Linked DNA regions of Sus scrofa. The protein of the gene in region 1 interacts with the protein of each later gene in a pairwise test. Links are inferred from orthologs where the notes say so. Each region holds a gene or a part of one and is shown in the gene's direction. Other genes may lie near its edges. The genes, in order: DLC1 and RASA1.

Region 1 (10,302 bases):
AACAATCCTGTGCTGATGTTTAGTAAAATAATTGAAGGGAAGACTACCATAGACTGACAAACCCTTATTAAAAGTATGTTAGGGTTTTCTTTTTCTTCTTTTTTTTTTAGGGCCATATTTGTGGTATATGGAAATTCCCAGACTAGGGGTCTAATCAGAGCTGCAGCTGCCAGCCTACACCACAGTCACAGCAACGCCAAATCCAAGGCGAATCTGCGAACTACTCTGAAGCTTGCAGCAACACCAGATCCTTAACCCACTGAGCAAGGCCAGAAATTGAACCCAGATCCTCACGGATACTAGTTGGGTTCTTAATCTAGTGAGCCATGACAGGAACCCCAGGTTTTCTTCTTTTTAAATGGTGAAACGACAGAAGTTGTTTTGGAGTTCATGTTGCCTCCATCACTCATTCATTACTGAAATTGATTTTTTTGTAATTTATCACTTGATAAATTTGTTCCAGTTTCTCAATGAGACAGTAAATACCTAGAAGGCAAGTGTATATTTACATCTGTACTTATCACCAGTATCTCTCACTATACCTGGTAACACAGATTAGGAAATACAAAATTCTGTTTAAGAAACGGTCATTAAGGGATGTATATAGCCTAAGATTTATGAAGATTGGGGTATACAGCAATGGATAAAATGACTTTTTCCTGAGGAGCTCTTTATCTGGTCTAGAGGTTCTCAAATTTACAAATGAAGACCTCCTGGCATCAACCCCCTAGAACAGTCAAGTAGCCAAATCAGGCAAACGTCACATAATACAATCACAAGCAATGTAAACAGATGCTTCAAGAGTGGCACACTGTCCAATTAGAGCAGAAAAATCAATCTCTTTTTTCCAGAAGATAGCCATATTTTTATTTTTTCTTCTCAAATCTCTGTACTGATCTTAGTGGTCAATTACTGTCTATATATTGAATATAATAATAATAAAAAGAAGAGGAAGAAGAACACAGACAAAAATAGCAATATGAACTTGGCAAAGCTGAGATGTGTGTCTTTCATCAGCAAATTTACACAGTAAAATCTGACAGCCAAAAATTCTTTAAAGCTTATTTGCAATATGAATTTCTCCCCAGCAATGTTAACAAGCAACCTTGCTCTGAGAGTTTCTTGTGGCTGATGAAAAGTTAGCTAATAATTGTGCACAGATACCACAATTTTTGTTTTATCTCTACTCCATCTTTTAAATTTGTTTTCTTTGTGGGTGCGGAGTTTAAAAATGCAGAGCTTACAGAATTTAAGTATCCATACTGCTTATTAAATATCATAACACTTCCCAACCATTTGGTCCTTAACTATTGCATCAATTGCCCTAAGTGCCCTTATGCAGCTCAGCACTGGGACACTGTCTCTGTAATCCAACATATCAGGGTGGTGCCTAGCAAAGTAAGGAGCCTCTGGGACCCTGCTCCAAGGGTTATGGACAACACTGATTTTGTTTAGTTATTGCCTCAGCTAAGCATACTGTCAAATATTCTGAATATCTGCCCTTTAAATCCCCTTTGAATAAGTATGTTAAAATATAGGTAGGTAGGTAGGTAGATAGATAGATAGATAGATAGATAGATAGATAGATAGATAGATAGATAGATAGATAAAAGGTAGATAGACAGTTCCTGCTAAAATCCTAAAAGTAATATGTAATCAAAAACATTTGGAACCTGTTTTAAAACAATTAGGACTTTAGTATTGTTTACTCTCCAATTGGTTTACCAAGTTTACAACCACCTCAAATACACTGCTCTATATTTTAAACCAACTAAAATATATAGTTGGTTTAAAACACCTAAACATTCCAAGCATTCTGAAACTACCCCAATCCTATGCATTTTATACACCTTGAGTTCTAACACATTTGCTCTCACATCACTTCTCATATCTTGATCTATGACCTGGCACAACTTTTAGAAGATTTACAAATTGTTAGAAGAGACCTTTCACAAATTGAGAGTTGTATGTTGGTTGCACCATTTTCCCTCACATCGTCTAGAAATAACCACAGGGGCTAACTAAAGGTAGAATTCAAAAGTTAAGGCTCATTTTAAATGGGAGCAAAGCTGCCTTTACTTATATGCTGTTTCACAAAACTGACACCTCTTTTTCTAGTCTTTAGCTTTTAACATAGATGTAGAGATTTTGCTGAAATGAATAGGGAAATAAATTTTTATTGTGAGAGATAAAAATTAAGACATACAGTAAATTAGGTGTTTCATAAAAAGCATCACATAACTTAAGGCAGAAAATAAGGCTTATGAAGAACGTTGCAGAATCTTCTGAGAGATTGTGGAAATAAATCTGTTTTTATGTAGAGAATATTTTCTCATACTAGAGATAATTAAGCCAATTGAGTGAGTATAAAAGGAGACCAAGAAAATTATCGATAGGTTCAATTCTGGACCATATTACAGTCCAGCGTGGTAACGATGATGAATCATGATGAATGGTAAGGAATTTTTAGGTTCTAGGATTTTAAGATACATTTGATAGTTACACTATCATAACTATCACATAATTATCACAGTAACATAAGTCATTAAGAGAATAGACTGATATTTCTTTTATTTCATTAGAGTCTATTTGTTAGAATGTTCTATAAAGTAGGGAAGAAAAAGCAAAGCTTAATAATCAATTCATCAAAAAATATTTATTCAATACCTACTCCAAAAAGCCTTTTCAGGATGCTAAGATACATCAGTAAATAAAACAAAGTCCTCTTTCTCTGGGAGTTTATATTCTGTTGGATGAGTTAACTAGTAAACAAAGCATATAAATAACTAAACTCTATGAAGAAAAAAATAAAGCCAGATAAGGAGAGCTTGATGAAAGTGTACTTACTGTATCTAAAGGTAGTCAAGGAGGATCCCACAGTTAAACTGACATTTGAACTGAAAATTGAAAGCAGAGCAATCTATCTGGGATAGACTCCTCCAGGAGAATATTTAGCACATCCAAATTCCTGAGGCAGGAGTGCCCTTGACACCTTTGAAGAATGGCAGGAAGATCTGGGCACCTAGAGTTCAAGGAGCAAGACAGGCTATGCAAGAGAAAGTGCATGTAAGTTCAGAGCTGCGGTGAGGGACTGAGCTATCACAGGCCATCGCCAACCATTTTTATTTTATTGTAAATTAGATTGGACATTACTAGAACATTTCAGGATCAATTATTACAGTAGGACCTTATTGGAGGATTAGGAGAATGACATGATCTGACAGGTTTTAAAAGCACCAGCCAGGCTGCTATTATGGAGACTAGACTGTGAGGCCAGGGTGCAGAAAAAGGCATGCCCATTAGAAAGGTGAGCTCGTGGTCAACTCTGCCAGGGCAGTAGAGGTCAAAGTGGTGAGAGCTGTTGGAGTCTACATATATACTTAAAAGAAAGTGACAGAATTGGGTGTAGAACGTGTTGAAACAAACTAGAAGAACTACACCAATATGAAAAATACTTTCAGCAAGTGCAGCTCTGGGATAATCAAACAAAGCTATCTGATTTGTAACATTTGTAACACAGAAATGAGATGTGTGAGTTTGCACACAATGATGGTGAAAATACTAGGCATAAACAACCATCATATATAGGATCTCTATCAGGTAACACTGTCCCTAGTTGGATAAAGGGGCTCCCAAAGCAGGGAGCCCTCCATTCCCCTCCCTCAGAGAAATTTTCACAGCAGAGACCACAGTATACATTCATAAGTGGTGTTTCAGAGGACTTGGCAGGTTCATTGGGTGAGAGATTATACTGCTTGAGGTTAAGCTTTTTTGTGATTTGCACCCCAATGGGAGAACATGAGAAGAAATGAATACACAGTGGAAAAACTTCAAAGAAAGGAAAGAGCAAATTTATTTTCGTGTAATCCTTGTTTCAAAATATTCTTCATACCATAAACCTCAGTGAAATCTATGTCAGTTCCTCCACTGATGCCTGAATACACCCACAGCTGATTGTACTTACAAAACGAGGGTCAACAAATGGAGAATGGTTTCATTGTCTGCTGTAGCATTCTCTGATTGGAAACAGCCCCTTGGGAATTCATTGCTGAAGACAAGTCCCACCCCTTCAAATGCGGCTGCCCTCACTCTGATCATCAGAGAAGACACTGCCGGGGGATCTGTTCTACTCAGCTTCAGACAGAGGGACACAGGTGATTACCAGGTAAAAGCCTTACTTCACCCTTTATATTTAATACCATATATAACAATTTGTGTGCATTGTTGTGTGAGCAGTTTGCATGTTAAATTGTTTCCGAAAACAGAAACAAAATAGTTTACTCATAAATGAAGTTCTATTAGTAGAGAAAAATGCCTAAGACTAAATATACCTAGGAAAACCTCAAGATGCTTAGTGTCACTTTCTGGCATTGACTGAAATTGTATTCATCTAAAAATGTGAAATGCTTTCTCATGGGAGTATGTATTCTTAACAGTAAGTGAAAACTGCAGTGCTGTGTTGTATAGTTGTTTGGAAAGATGATTTCCTCTACAAAGTTCAAAGTGAAAATATTTATTGTGTTGAAAGCAGATGCTATTATTTGTGATACACATTTTCATTTTTGTTTTTGTTTCTGTTACTCTATTGAATAATTTCAGTATAGATATAAGATTATCATTGTATTTTGAAATAGTATTCATATATGTTTAAAGTTATTTTGACTAGAAAAATAAATTTATAGTGTTATTTTATCATAAACTTTTTCATGGATTTGATCAAAATTTTTTAAATAAATCATTTACTTCTTCTGATAATTAACCAATGTACCAAATAGATCCAAGTAATCCCAGAGAAACGTATTGCCAAGGCATAGCTTTTTTAAAAATTCAGAGCTGCTTAATCAACAATGTTACAAATGAAATGATCAGTTACCTTGAGGTCGAGAGTTAATTGAATGAACAGACAGCCTGATTTTCCCTTACAGCAACCTATAATGCTAATGGATAAGTTAATTTTTTCTTTCCTAAAGTAATTGCACTGCCTCCTTAATTTAAAATCACTTGCATTTACTCAGTTGATTTTCTAACAGGGCAAAGGTCCTGAACATTTAGACTGGGGAGATTTAAATTGTCAATAGGATGTAGAGTATAGGACCCTTTAGCATAAATAGCTAAAATTTACTATGCATCTTTTTTGTCTAATGTTGAATACATTATTTATTATAATTTACAAGAAAGGTAATATTACTACAGATTAATCTTATAAAACCTTAATTATGGTCTTATTAATTCTCTGTTGATTAAACAATTTCTCTTCTGTTTAAGAAAATAATTACTGATTCTCATCAATCACACTCTGACTAGGTCACTGAATTGTATATATTAATTACTTTTTTAATATTGTTAAGACTTATAAACAAATGAATGATGTTAAAAACTTTACATACAAATGGGTGACAGTGAAAATCAGCATCCTGAAGAGAAAAACTAAGTTCTTTTTTCTGATAGCATCTCTAACAGATAAAAATAAATTATTGCAAGTTAAGTATTAATCTGCATTCTCTTAATATTAGTTATTACAATTTACAGAGCAAGAAAAAAATTTGAATTTTACTAAACAAAACTGCTTATTCTTTGAGCAATGTAATTTATTCATTATCTTGAAATTATCATGTTCACTTTATATTATATTAGCAGATGTTTTGTCTAAGGTATTGCTACCTAAAAGCCTTAAGAACTCTTAATTTCTGATGTCTTAAAATATGTTTTCAACCTAGCAAAAATATCTATCTTTTAAAATTTGGTTACATTATCATTACATATGGACATGATCTGATGACAAATAAATTGGCCACAGATGCTCTTATGTAAAGAAATTTATTTATTTATTTATTGCTTTTTAGGGCAACACCCATAGCATATGGAAGTTCCCAGGCTAGGGGGTCGAACCAGAGCTATAGCTGCTGGTCTATGCCACAGCAAACACCCAATCAGAGCCACGTCTGTGACCTACACCCAGCTCACAGTAACGTAGGATCCTTAACCCACTGAGCAGGGCCTGGGATCAAACTCACAAACTCATGGATACTAGTCGATTCATTACCACCAAGCCACAATGGGAACTCCACAAACTTTTAAAATAAGGCAGAGAATCCAAAACCTTCACAGAACTGGAAAATTTATAGCCAAAATCGGGAAATAATAGAAATTTGAAAACGTTTATTTAATTTTAGTTTAGTTTAATTTGTTCAATAATCTGAAAATTCTTTTATTTTGGCCTAACTTAAAAAAAACTATGATGAATTTTAAACATTTATAAAAACAGAGCAGGTTAATGAATTTCTAGGTACCTAGGACCAAGCATTAACAGTGAACACATATGACCATTCTTATTTCATACACAGTCCCTTCAATTTATCCTAATTCCCATGTTATGTTAGAGTAATTTTAGACAGCATGTCATTTCATATGTATGCTTCCCTAAAAAATAAGCTCTCATCTTTAAAATAGTACAGTACCATGGAGTTCCCATCGTGACTCAGCGGAAACAAATCTATTATCCATGAGGATGCAAGTTTGATCCCTGACCTTGCTCAGTGGGATAAGGATCCAGCATTGCTGTCAGCTTGTGGTGTAGGTCACAGATGTGGCTTGGATCTGGCATTGCTGTAGCTGTGGTGTAGGCCAGCAGCTACAGCTAGGATTCGACCCCTAGCCTGGGAACTTCCCTATGCCACATCTGCAGTCCTAAAGAGACAAAAAAAATAAAAATGAAAATAAATAAAACAGTACAGTACCATGATCACGGTTTAAAAAAAAAATCCTTAATAACGCCAAATATATAGTAAGTGTATGAATATTCTATAATCTCCCAAATGTCTTTGTTTCTTTATATTTAAAAAAGTTAGGATCCAAATAAACCTCACACATGGCAATTGATTGATGGTTGGGGGTAGGAAAGGTTGATCTACAGATTCTCCGGAGTTGTTTTTTCCTTGCGCCTTGTTGGAAAAAAACCCTGAATTTTTGTCCTGTAGAATTTCCCAATTTAGACCTTGCTGATTGTAGTACCATGGTGTAGTTTCATGGATTTTTCTGCCTTCCATGTTTTTTTCTCGATTGGTACTTGGGACTAGAGAATTTCTCAGATTCGGATTCAGTTTCTTGGCCAGGAACTTCAGTTAGAGTGGTGACCTTCCATGAGGAGGCACTTAATTTGTGGTTGTTTTCCTTTTTGTGATGTCAGCAGTCACTGCTGCTCAATGTCTTATTACTTTAATCTGAAATGTAAAAACATAAAGTTAATTCTGAAAAAAAGTGTGCCCCCAAAAAATACTTAAGGGAAAATAACACAAATTATGAATTTTACTTCTAGGTTACTTAGCTAGCAAAATCATCAAAGTACATTTGTTTCTTGTATATAAATGCAGTTTCTACAACTTGAAATTATATATAGTAAAAATTGAATCTCTTAGATTTCCTAGAAAATGCACACCCAATTTGTTCCTCTACTTCCTTTTCTCTTTTTTCTTGTTTCTTTGTCCTATTAACTCTCACTCTTCACTGGACACTTAGCCAAGTTACCCCAGTTCCCATCTCATATGCTAGCTTCATATTGTTAGCCTGATAATTCTAACAAGTGCTTCCCTACAAATTTTTTTTTTTTTTTTGTCTTTTCAGGGCCGCACTCGCGGCCTATGGAGGTTCCCAGGCCAGGGGTCTAATCAAAGCTGTTGCTACCTGCCTACACCACAGCCACGGCAACGCCAAATCCAAGCCGTATCTGCAGTCTACACCACAGCTCATGGCAATACCAGATCCTTAACCACTGAGTGAGGCCAGGGATCGAACCTGCAACCTCATGGTTCCTGGTTGGATTCATTTCCACTGTGCCACAACGGGGACTCCTCCTTACAAATTAAATTGCTTATAGCAATGACAGAAATCAAAAAGAGGGCACATAGCTTGAAAAGTAATGTTTGTCCGATCTCTAGCAGTCTGACAAATGTGGCTCCCAGGCTAAAACACCCGCATTTATTTGAAAGTTCTATCATCCATGGGATCAAATGGATAGAATATTTAACTGATAGTTTTATCAGCCAGGAACTTATGCATTAAGGCATAAGACAGCATATGGGAATTTGAGCTCAAGAGCTAGTCAGAAACCTGATTATTGAAACTAAAACAGGCAGGCCTAGTGCAAAGTTGTGTGTTGTATAACAGCTGCTTGAGGCTGCCATACCTATAATAACATTAAAGGGGAGAAGACTGTGATTCAGGAGGAGTGCACATGGCTTTATCTTGAGAGACTGGATGAAAATGGAGACCCGTTTTTAAAAATGGATGAGACTCAAGATAAATGAATATCTATTTATTAGAAAGTACTGAACAAGTGAAGAATGAAATGTAACAAACTGGGAAAATATCCATGAGGATTTTATAAAATGGATATTACCTGTAAAAATGAGAATACTCCATTTGGAGTAAAAAGATTTTACACCGTGAATAGGCAAATATACACAAATAAAGACCTTGAGTTGATGATTATAACTGTATATGTACACAACATGAAAGTAAAATTAATGAGAATGAACTTCATTTTGGATGCTATTTGTGGCAGTCTTATGATCTTATGTTAAAACAAGTTTACTTTAATAAAAAGAACTCTCTACCTGCCTAAAGTTTTGAAAGGCATAAAAATGAAAAGAAACTTCTATTAGGAATAAAAGTAATATTGTCCAAGAATGCTATGGTATATTTTTATGTTGCCACTTTGCCTTCATTTTAACTATGTTTGTGCTACTTTCTGATTTAAGTGAAGATGACGGCTTGAGGGTTGTGCTAGTAATTGACAGAAAATGCAAAATTTATTTCATGTTGAGTTATTTTCAAATTTCCTTATAAACTCCAGTTGTAGCTAATTTTCTTGGGTTCAGATAACATGAATAACTGTATACAGTCTTTAAGTAGGACTGTTGATTACTGAGCCTTGTGAGATATTTTAATTACTTTAGGTTTTAATTTCCTCTAGGAATTCTTTAATTCACTTCTTCTTACTAGGTTTCAATCATTAAATTCTATACAACCCTTGACTTGAAAGGGTCTATAAATTAAGAGAGAGATTGTCAGAGATGCAGGTACGTCTCCTCACAGGTATGTCTCCTTACTTAAATACAAATCCATAAAGAATTGAGTATTATGTAATGTGGGGCCCCTCATAGTCTGAATGTTTGGAATAACTCCTAAATGGAGAAAAGCATGTTTCCTGCTGATTTTTCAAGTTTAAGTTTCTTGAGGTACTTCCACCTTGTCAGTTTTTCCCAAGTAATAAAAACAGATTGAGCCTCAGATTCAGGCAAGGCTCAGTGGAGAATGGTGAACAAAATGAGGATTGGATGTTTAACCTGAATCAATTTGTCCAGTAAGCTCACATGTCATGCAAACTGATACACACATACTTAGAGATTTGTTTTCCTTTCTCAACTGTACATTTTACTTATTATGTAAGATTTTTATAATGCTTTTTCTTTCTTAAAAATTGTCCTGGCCATTTAAGGACCTTTATGTCTCCCAATTTAGAATCACCTGGTCAATTTCTACCAAAAGAGAGATTTTTATTAGGGCTGAATTTATATTTTAATTTGGCTAGAGTAGGCATGACTACATTGGGTCTTCTAATTCATGTATTTGGTATATGTGTCTGTTTATTTAGATACTTGTTATTGTCTCAGCAGCTTTTTGTAATATTCTGGGAGAATAAGTCTCAGGTTTTATAGTTTATTCACAGATATTTATGCTCTTGGTTAATCTTTTACTCTTGCCTTCATCAGATTTGATAATAAAGTTGTAAAAGAAGGTAAGACACTTTCTATCCTTTTGTAATCTGGAATATTTTGCCAAATATAAAAATGTTAGAAGGAACCATCTGAGCCTAATTTCTATTTTAGCAATAAATAATTAACAAATTTTTCCCATAGGTCTTAATTTGTACAAATTTTCTTCTATTTAAGTCAATTTCAATTTTCTTCACTTTTTAAAGTTTTATTGAAGTATAATAGGTGATTTACAATGTTGTGATAATTTCTGCTGTACAAGAAAGTGATTCAGTTATACATGCACGTATCCATTCTCTTTCAGATTCTTTTCCCACATAGGTTATCACAGAATATTGCGTAGAATTCTCTGTGCTATGTGGTAGGTCTCCATTAGCCAATTATTCCATATACCTCAGTGTGCATATGCCAGTCCCATACTCCCAGTCTATCCCACCCCCACCCCCACCTGTCCACTTTGGTAACCAAAAGTTTATTTTCAAAGTCTGTGAGTCTGTTTCTGTTCAGCACAAAGTTCACTTGTATCTTT
Region 2 (9,527 bases), on another chromosome or scaffold:
ATAATTTCCTGTTAATCTGAGAATGCTTAATGCTCTCTTACTTTCAATTATTTTTCCTGATGTCATTTTTAGCTTATACTGCAAAAGGAGCTTCATGTAGTCAATGCTTTATCACATGTATGTGGACAGGATCGAACACTACTGGCTAGCATCCTACTGAGGATTTTTCTTCATGAAAAGCTTGAATCCTTGTTGTTATGTACACTAAATGACAGAGAAATAAGCATGGAAGGTATAGTATGGATGTGTTTCTGTGATACTTTTAAAAATTGGATTAATAGGTTTTATATATATCAAGTATATACAGACTCCATCTTAGACTATATTAAATAGTTAAATTATCTTACAAAGTAAGTTACTGTTTTTCCTTCTTTAAAAATTACAGTTGGAATGTCATTTCTGATTCTTTATGCTGGCTAATGGGGAGCAGCTATTATTTCTTTTTCTTTTTTGTCTTTTCTAGGGCTACACCCTCAGAATATGGAGGTTTCCAGGCTAGGGGTCTAATTGGAGCTGTAGCTGCCGGCCTATGCCAGAGCCACAGCGACGTGGGATACGAGCCGCGTCTGTGACGTACTCCACAGCTCACGGCAACACCAGATCCTTAACCCACTGAGCGAGGCCAGGGATCGAACCCACAACCTCATGGTTCCTAGTCAGATTCGTTAACTACTGAGCCACCACAGGAACTGCTGTTAGTATTTCAAATACAAGTTTCTGTCATGGCAAATTAGTATTAGGTGCTATAAGAAAGTGACTTCCATGTCCAGATCAATGGTTCACAGTGCTTGATTATTAAGAAGTTTGGCTATTTCCATATTCTCTTGTTTATTTTTCATTTAAAAATTCATTGTACAAGTTAGGTGTCTGCATTTTATTTCTAGCTTCTATGATAGGTAGTTCTAGGCAGTATAGCTGGACACGATCTTTGTAACAGCTTATAAATATGTTATAAAAAGGGATTTACAACCAGCACTTTGACTCAGTAATAGTCCTTGCTTCTGGATTCCCCAAATAAACTGTAATACCCAGAACTATTTCCTCCTAGTCATAAAAAAATGTAAAAATATATATATTTGTCAGGAAAGATAAAGTGGTGGTACATGTTTTGCATTAAGATTGTCTTTTCTGGTAATACTTGCATTTTTTAGGATTTTACTAATGTCATTAATAGCTATGCTTAGGCTAATAAGTTAATTTATACTGGGATTTTATTGTGCATTCTTGCTTGGAAATTAGCTCAGATTTTTTTTAAAGCATGAGCTCAGTAGAAAGAAAAAGCTACATTCTGGCGCTAAGTTTTGTCACTATTTGGTTCTTTAGTCCTAGATGATAAGTTATATCACTTTCAAAAGTTTTTGGTTTTTTCTTTTTTTTTTAAGATTAACTTAGAGATTTTATTTTTTATAACTTTTTAGGGCCGCACCTGCAGTAGTATATGGAAGTTCCTAGGCTAGGGGTCAAATTGGAGCTGCAGGTGCTGGCCTGAGCCACAGCCAGGGCAACACAGGATCTGAGCCACATCTGTGACCCACTCTACAGCTTGCGGCAACACCAGATCCTTAAACCACTGAGCAAGGTCAGGGATGGAAACTGCATCCTCATGGATACAGGTCTGATTCTTAACCCACTGAGCGACAACAGGAACTCCAACTCTTTGTTTTGTGATATGAACATGGCAGTGTTAATTCCTCTCCTGTTTATGATCTAATGAAGATTAAGAATTTATTTATTTATTTATTTATTTATTGTCTTTTTAGGGCCGGACCCGTGGCATATAGAGGTTCCCAGGCTAAGGGTCAAATCAGAGCTATAGCCGCTGGCCTACACCACAGCCACAGCAACGTGGGATCCGAACTGCATCTACTACCTAAACCATAGCTCATGGAATTGCCAGATCCTTAACCCACTGACTGAGGCCAGGGATTGAACCTGTGTCCTCATGGGTGCTAGTCAGATTCATTCCTCTGAGCCACGATGGGAACTCCAAGAATTAATTCTTTATCTTAATTCATTATTTAAGATTTAATTAAGAATTAAGGATAAATTATGATCTTTTAAAGAATTATGTTTATAGAAATATAGAATGTCAGTATAATCAATACTTTATTGCTGATTGCAAATAAGCATGTTTAAATGATAATTGGTTGAGGAAAAATGAATTGATTTAATTTTCAATTTGGTTCACATTAATACAATCCTTTACAAACAATCTTTTAATATATTTATGTAGATGAAGCCACTACTCTATTTCGAGCCACAACACTTGCAAGCACCTTGATGGAGCAGTATATGAAAGCCACTGCTACACAGTTTGTTCATCATGCTTTGAAAGACTCTATCTTAAAGATAATGGAAAGCAAGCAATCTTGTGAGGTGAGTATTTAATGTTGTAAGTATTTCAGGAAAGAGCATATTCAAATAGGTAATGTGTTATAACTAATTACACTTTAAGGAAAATATGTTACCTGTCTGAAACTATTCATCAGAGAAGTTAAACCTTTTCTAATACATTTAGAAAAGTGTTACGCAAAACAGACTTTTTAAAAAAGATGTACATTATTTGTGGATTAAGAATCTCAAATTGCACCAGAAATACATGCAAGTACTTTATCATTTCTCATACTGTACTAATGATAAAAGTATATGCTACTTTCAGAAAGTATACTTAGCATAAGTTGAAATTTATGTTTGAGACTTCTATTGTGTAAGTTGTATGTGGCACTTGATAGTAACATCTAGGTTTGTCTTTGAAGATTTTTTGGGGGGTGGGGTGAGAAGGTCAGAGGTACAAGACAGTCTCCTCAAAAGCAAATAAAAACATCCTTTTAGGATAAGGCTTCACTGAAGATTCATAACGAACCATTACCATAAGGAGTAAAATCTCACTTATATGGCTATTCTGTCATTTTATTTTGAAGTTAGAGCAACTATAGAAGGAGGATATATATATTTTTTCTTTTTAGGGCCACAGCTGCAGCATATAGAAGTTCCTGGGCTTGGGGTGGAATCAGAGCTGCAGCTGCCGGCCTGTGCCACAGCCATGTCAGATCCAAGCGATATCTGCAAACTACACCGTAGCTTGTGTCAATGCTGGATCCTTAACACTCTGAATGAGGCCAGGGATCAAACTCATATCCTCATGGATACTATTTGGGTTCTTAACCTGCTGAGCCACAATGGGAACTCTTGAGGAGGATATTAAGTATATTTTTTAGATCTGATATAAAATTAATAAAATAACTACTTTTGATAATGTTCACTGGGTGCAGTAAATGTTAATTCTGCATTAAGTTGTCAGATGTAGACTTAACACCATAGTTGGCCTGACTGTAAAGAATACAGAAATGTAGCAAGTCCGCAGTCTCTGGATGTTGAATCCAGGCTAGTGACTTTAGATTCCTGTGAATAAATCTACCCCATTGATTCCAGATCAGAATTCTTAAATTTCAAAAGTTATTGGAACATTTTGGAAAAGGTTCATGATTCTGCCTGAGGCATTGGTATTTTATTAGTCACTTAAATCTTATTCAGAAAAACCTCTCTAATCAGTTTTCAAATAGAATTAAGATTTTATAATGATATGTGGTGATCTTTCTTCCCATTTAAATGCTCTGTAGTGTATCTGTGAATATGTGGCCACTGAAACTGGATTTTTTGTCTTCTAGTTGGGAATATTACATTTAAACTGAAGTCTAAAACAGTTTGTATGCCTGTAAAAATCTATGGTAAAACATGGTAAATGAATAAAAGAAAACTTTATTGATGGTATTAACCCCTCAAAAAAAAAATGAAAATGGTTTAATACTACTCAGTTTTTAGTGGAATAATTATGAATTAATGGTAACAAGCCCATTAAGAATTCCATACAGCAAACTATTTGAAATTCTCAGTGTTCCTGTCATGGCTGAGCATAAACTAATCTGACTAGCATCCATGATGATGCAGGTTCAATCCCTAGCCTAGCTCACAGGTTGAGGATTGGCGTTGTGAGCCCTGGTGTAGGTTGCAGACGCTGCTTAGATCTGATGTGGCTGTGGCTGTGGTGGAGGCCAGTGGCTACAGCTCCGATTCAACCCCTAGTCTGGGAACCTCCATATGCTGCAGGTGTGGCCCTAAAAACAATTAAAATAAAATAATAAAAAAAAAATTCTCATTTATCCCCATTCCTCTACCACCAAGACGAATACAGAATGAATAATGGAGAACCTTGAAAACGACTGTTTATCTTGATTTTTATGATTGCCAAGATGCATTTATATTGATTTATTCCTTCTCTTAGTTAAGTCCATCAAAGTTAGAAAAAAATGAAGATGTGAACACTAATTTAGCACACCTATTGAACATACTTTCAGAGCTTGTGGAGAAAATATTCATGGCTTCAGAAATACTTCCACCGTAAGTGGTGAAATTTTAATTTGACAAGAAATAGTATACCTGCCTCTTAAAAATTTTGTATTTCTAAAACATGTAAGCTTTTCTACTATTGTGATGTTATTATACTCTGAAAAGTTAGAGTTTTTAATCTTTACATAATGAATTGTGTTCAAGGAAAAAGAGTGACTTGAAGAAACCAAAGTTAAATATTTACATTAAAATAAAACAAATCATGTTTTTATATAGGCCAGTATGTCTGGTTTATCTCATGACTTGGAGAATGAATAGAGACTTAGAGTCTCAGATTCAAAGAGATTATAAAAGAGATGTATTTCTTCAGTCTGTAGTTGAATATCTTGCTCAAAATGTACACAAGAAAATTAATATCTGCTTAATGGCTTCCAATGTTAGTGAACTCAATCAGTTGAAAGTTAACTTATATCAAAGTCTGTCTCACTGGACTCTGTACTCATTAGTTCCTCTGTATCCTCATTGCAATACTTTTTCATGCTTTTCATTAATACAGAAGTAATCTAAAAATGGTAGGATGTCCTCCAAAGTAAATGTAAAGAATTGGCCAAATGAATTGATGATGAAAACTTTTAAAAAGTTTTATCCTTTGCCAAATGTTTTGCAGCAGAGTTCTGTTTTGGGAAAAAGGCCAGTTGCATTAAAAAATATCATGTACTTGATAAATTAAGCTTTTGGCTGCAATGTGATCATTATTTTCATTTATTTTCTGTATTGAGATGACTGTGTTATTTTGGCAGGACACTGAGATATATTTATGGGTGTTTACAGAAATCTGTCCAGCACAAGTGGCCTACAAATACCACCATGAGAACAAGAGTTGTTAGGTAAGGCTTGTCAGTTTGTTAAATGATTGTATAGTATGTACTTATAGTCAAGTGGATATGTGAAAATTTGAAGACCAACAATATATATTATGCAATTCAAGACTTTTTCTTCTACTTTTATGTCAGAGCCCCACTGAATATTTTCTGAATTGAGCTAGCTCCTAAACTTTTACTGTTTTGTTTTTTTTAAGTTACCATGATACTTAGCTAGCTACTTTTTGCACTTTCTAAAAACGTGAACATTAATTTATATTCAGTTAACTATTTGGGATTCTTTTACCTTACAGAATGAGGTTAAAAGTCATGAAACCAACAAAATCTAAAATCTGTAGCTAACTTCATGTAGAAACTTTCATACAGACATATATACATGCATAGATGTGTATACATACATAGATATATATAGAAAGACAGAGGCGGGGGGAAAGAGAAAAAGATTGATTTGTGTTAAGAAGGAAGAGCCATAATTGAACCATTTAGATATTGATTTGCAACAGTCTGTCACTTGGGGCTAATCTCAAACCAGAATCTATAGTTCTGAAGCTGTGTTTCAGTGTGTTCATTGTACAGTAATTAGGAATTGCTTTGTCAAGTCATAAAAGTTTGTAGCTTATATAGGAAGACTTCATTATCACGATTTTAACTTTGCCAGTGAGGAGGCAAATCTGTAGAGTTGCTTGCTTGTAAGTTGTTTGCTTCAGGTTACACAGAAAATTAGTGGCTAAGGCAGAACTAATGGTGGATTTTGTAAATCCCAATCTAATAACCTTGACCCTCTTGCAGGCTTTTGTTAAGCACACCTTAACCCATTCAAGATAGGAAATCAGTGCAAAAACATCAGAGAATACAGCAGTCTAATAATAATTTATTATAAAGAATATATGCTTCCCGTCATGTTATACCATAAAATACAATTAGGCAGCTACTGATGGTCGTGTAATTAGTTTTGAAAATGTGTGTTAATCCTGTCCCCAACCTAAATTTTGCAAAGAAGCTTCTATTCTTTTTTACAGATTAAATCTCTCTTGGTTAATAATGATGTGACCTAAATATTTAAGAATTAGAGATTCTGTACTTCCTGCCTTTAGTAGTGATTGAAAAATAGAAAAGAATTATAAACATATGTTTCAACAGTTTTGTGTGATGTAAATGAAAACTGTTCTGTAAGTTTCAAACAAGTATAATTGTTAAGCAAAAAGCAGGAAACTCTGCTATGTGGATTGTTTGATACTATAGGATTTTTTAAGGGAGCATTTATGGCCAAGGTGGTGATTAAGCTTTTAAATATATGTGTAGAAACCTAATTTTCCTCTTAGATTTCAAATCACCTCTAAAAATTCACAGAAAGTAGGTTCACACACTGAAATCTTACGGTTCATTGTTGCTAGACTATATTTCAAATTCAAAGACCTATTTAGGTATCACAAGTGTTTTCAAGCAAATTTTATGTAATATTTTTCATAAGTAATTTAAAAGATATCTGTTTAAAGACTTAATTGTATAATTGGGAATAAATGCTATTTGAGAAGCAGCATTAATTTCCTAAGATTTCCCAAAATTAGCAAACAGCATTGTTGGAAAGTTAAATGCTGAGAAGTTGGGTTATTCACTCTAACAGAGAACAGAGACTCTGTCAACTATTTTAATCTCTAAAAGGAATTCTGTCACCTTGAAAATAATGCTTGTCTTTTACGTAGGGCAGGTGAAAGGTCAATTACTAGTGTGGATTCTTCTGAAGAGGAAGTTAGAGAAATATTTTCTACATAAGGACATAAACTGTACCAGTAACTAAAAGGGGCAGACTAGGAATAGATATGTAAGCTTGTAGATTTATTTTGTACTGCATTCCCAGGAGAGAGATTAGCAGGTAAAATCATGTATGACAACTATTGTTAAGCCATGTGCTTTTAAATTAGTTTTTGTTTTTGCTATTAATATTTTGGAATATGAAAAAATTTTAATTTGGAAAGCTTAATGTCTTTTTATCACTTTAAAAGCTTTTCAGCATACTGCTGTATACATTTTCATTTATCAGGAAGTCACTTTTTCCCTAGTACAGTGGATTCTTAAATTTTAAATAACACAAAATCTGTATAACCAGTGTGATTTATAATGGACTTTACTGAGCTGTTCTGTTTAAAGAAAAGAAAGAAGTGAGAAAATGTTAGTTTTCCGACCTTACAGGATTATGTATCTATTAAAAAGGTTTATTTGTACTCCCAGAAGGCCTTAGTGTTTCTAAACACTTTCTTCAAAGTAAGTATAAAAGGCTGTACTACCTTGGAGTAAATAAATATTAGCCAAGACAATAAATGCTAACAGATATAACTTAGGTCTTCCCAAAGTAAATTTAAAATTCTAAATTTGAAGAAAATGAATGTTTAAGATGCAGATATATGTTCTTATTGCAAAATACTTTAGCTTATTATTTTTATAAAGCTTTATTTGGCCTTCCATAGATTAGTTCAAAGTTCATGGTTCTACAAGTATTGTAATTTTTATTATTTTAATGTAATACATATTATAGTGGTTATCTAAAAAAACCCCAACATTTCCCTCCCATTCAGTGGTTTTGTTTTTCTTCGACTTATCTGTCCTGCCATCCTGAATCCACGGATGTTTAATATCATCTCAGGTAATCAACTTCTGATAAATTTTGAAATTAAAAAAAAAATGTCATATTCTTTAGTGAGTTTACTTCATTTTCTTCTCTTTTAAATCTGCTTTTCTTATCCAAATCTAAGACTTGGTTTAAAACATTCCAAAGCACCCTATTCTACTTTTGGCTTACCTTATTATTTTTTTAATTGTGCTTCTTTCCTTTCTTTCTCTAAAGCAACTGAAGCCTGAGAAGGCATGATTATACACCTACCATTTTTTTCCCATCCCCACCTGTGTCTCAGTTCCTATGATGAGTTTTTCTAGTCTGCAGTGTGGCTTTTTCAAGTTGGGATGAACAGCTTTCTATGAGCCTTTAGCCTATGCTAGACCCTGTACACTACCACTGCAAGTTGGATTTTAGAATCAAAATAAAATTATAGCTGCAGGAGTTCCCATTGTGGCTCAGTGGCAGTGAACCCAACTAATATCCATTAGGATGTGGGTTCAAATCCCTGGCCTCTCTCAGTGGTTTAAGTATCTGGTGTTGCCAGTTTTGGTGTAAGCTGCAGACTCCACTCGGCTTGGATCCTGCATCACAGTGGGTGTGTCATACAACTTCAATTTGACCCCTAGCCTGAGAACCTCCCTATGTAAATTACAGCTGCATTTATAATAGTACTCTGAATACTTAGGAAGAAAGTAGCCCTTTGAGGTTTCACAGTAGAGATTTCTTGTCACCTAATGTCTAATGTTAATTAGCATTTTATTCTCCAAACCAAATTTGGTTTTGCTTTTTACCCATATGCCCATTATGAACTTCTACATGTTACTGCAGGCTTATTTCACAGAAAGGATAAGAATATTTGTGACCACATTATTAGCAGAAGGAATCTGAAGCATTTTTGTCTTAATAATTTGAAGCTCAAAATTGTATTAAGATTTTTTTAGAATATCTTATTTTATCTTTATAGACATCACCTCTCATCCTATTACTACTAAAATGGTTATATTTATGGTTTAAGAATTAAGGGTTTTGAATTCTTGTGGAGAGATTTATTTATCTGAATGTTGGATCTGAACCACTAAGCAATACTGTTTGTAGTCTAGCAGTTTAAGATGAAAAGAGTACAATTTAAAATCAGGCAGTCAGTAGTTCTTGCTGTGGTGCAGCAGATTAAGGATCCAGTGTTCTTTGGTGGCATGAGTTTGATCCCCAGCCTGGCATAGTGGGTTAAATATTGCACATTGCTGCAGCTGTAGTGTAGGCTGCATCTGCAGCTGCAGCTGAGATTCATCTCTGGCCTGCGAAGTTCCATATGCTGCAAATGTGGCCATAAAAATAAGTAAAAGTAAAATCAGGCAGATAAACTATAGGTTTTTACTGTTAATACGTTTCCAGGCTTAAAATTAATAGACACAAATGTATTCTATTTATATCCTATCTATATAGGGCACATTTTCCTGATTAACCTTTAAGTATTTTTTAAATTAATAATTTCATGTTTTCCTCCTCAAAATAGAGGTTCCAGACTTTGTTTAGCTTTAAATTGTATAATTTGAGTCAGTGGAGGTTGGCAACATGGAACTGCTCATATTGCAAATTGCTAATCTGGGTGGGTTGAAATTAGCTTTGTAGATTGTCCTGAAGGGTAGGTGGAGTGACAGTCTTTTTAGCGATAAAGCTTTGGGGTA

The links.
Region 2: the proteins of DLC1 (region 1) and RASA1 interact in binary tests that used the Homo sapiens proteins (3 or more experiments, as listed by UniProt). The link is inferred for Sus scrofa from reciprocal best matches to the Homo sapiens genes DLC1 and RASA1.

Annotation. Positions count from the first base shown.
Region 1 is NC_010459.5:1,630,912-1,641,213, reverse strand, and holds the start of DLC1 (rho GTPase-activating protein 7), read left to right. Parts: upstream 1-4,043; 5' UTR 4,044-4,165; intron 4,166-10,302. UniProt on the Homo sapiens protein: Functions as a GTPase-activating protein for the small GTPases RHOA, RHOB, RHOC and CDC42, terminating their downstream signaling.
Region 2 is NC_010444.4:94,974,859-94,984,385, forward strand, and holds part of RASA1 (ras GTPase-activating protein 1), read left to right. Parts: intron 1-72; coding exon 73-232; intron 233-2,233; coding exon 2,234-2,376; intron 2,377-4,282; coding exon 4,283-4,398; intron 4,399-5,147; coding exon 5,148-5,234; intron 5,235-6,079; exon of another isoform or gene 6,080-7,801; coding exon 7,802-7,869; exon of another isoform or gene 7,870-9,527. UniProt on the Homo sapiens protein: Inhibitory regulator of the Ras-cyclic AMP pathway. Stimulates the GTPase of normal but not oncogenic Ras p21; this stimulation may be further increased in the presence of NCK1.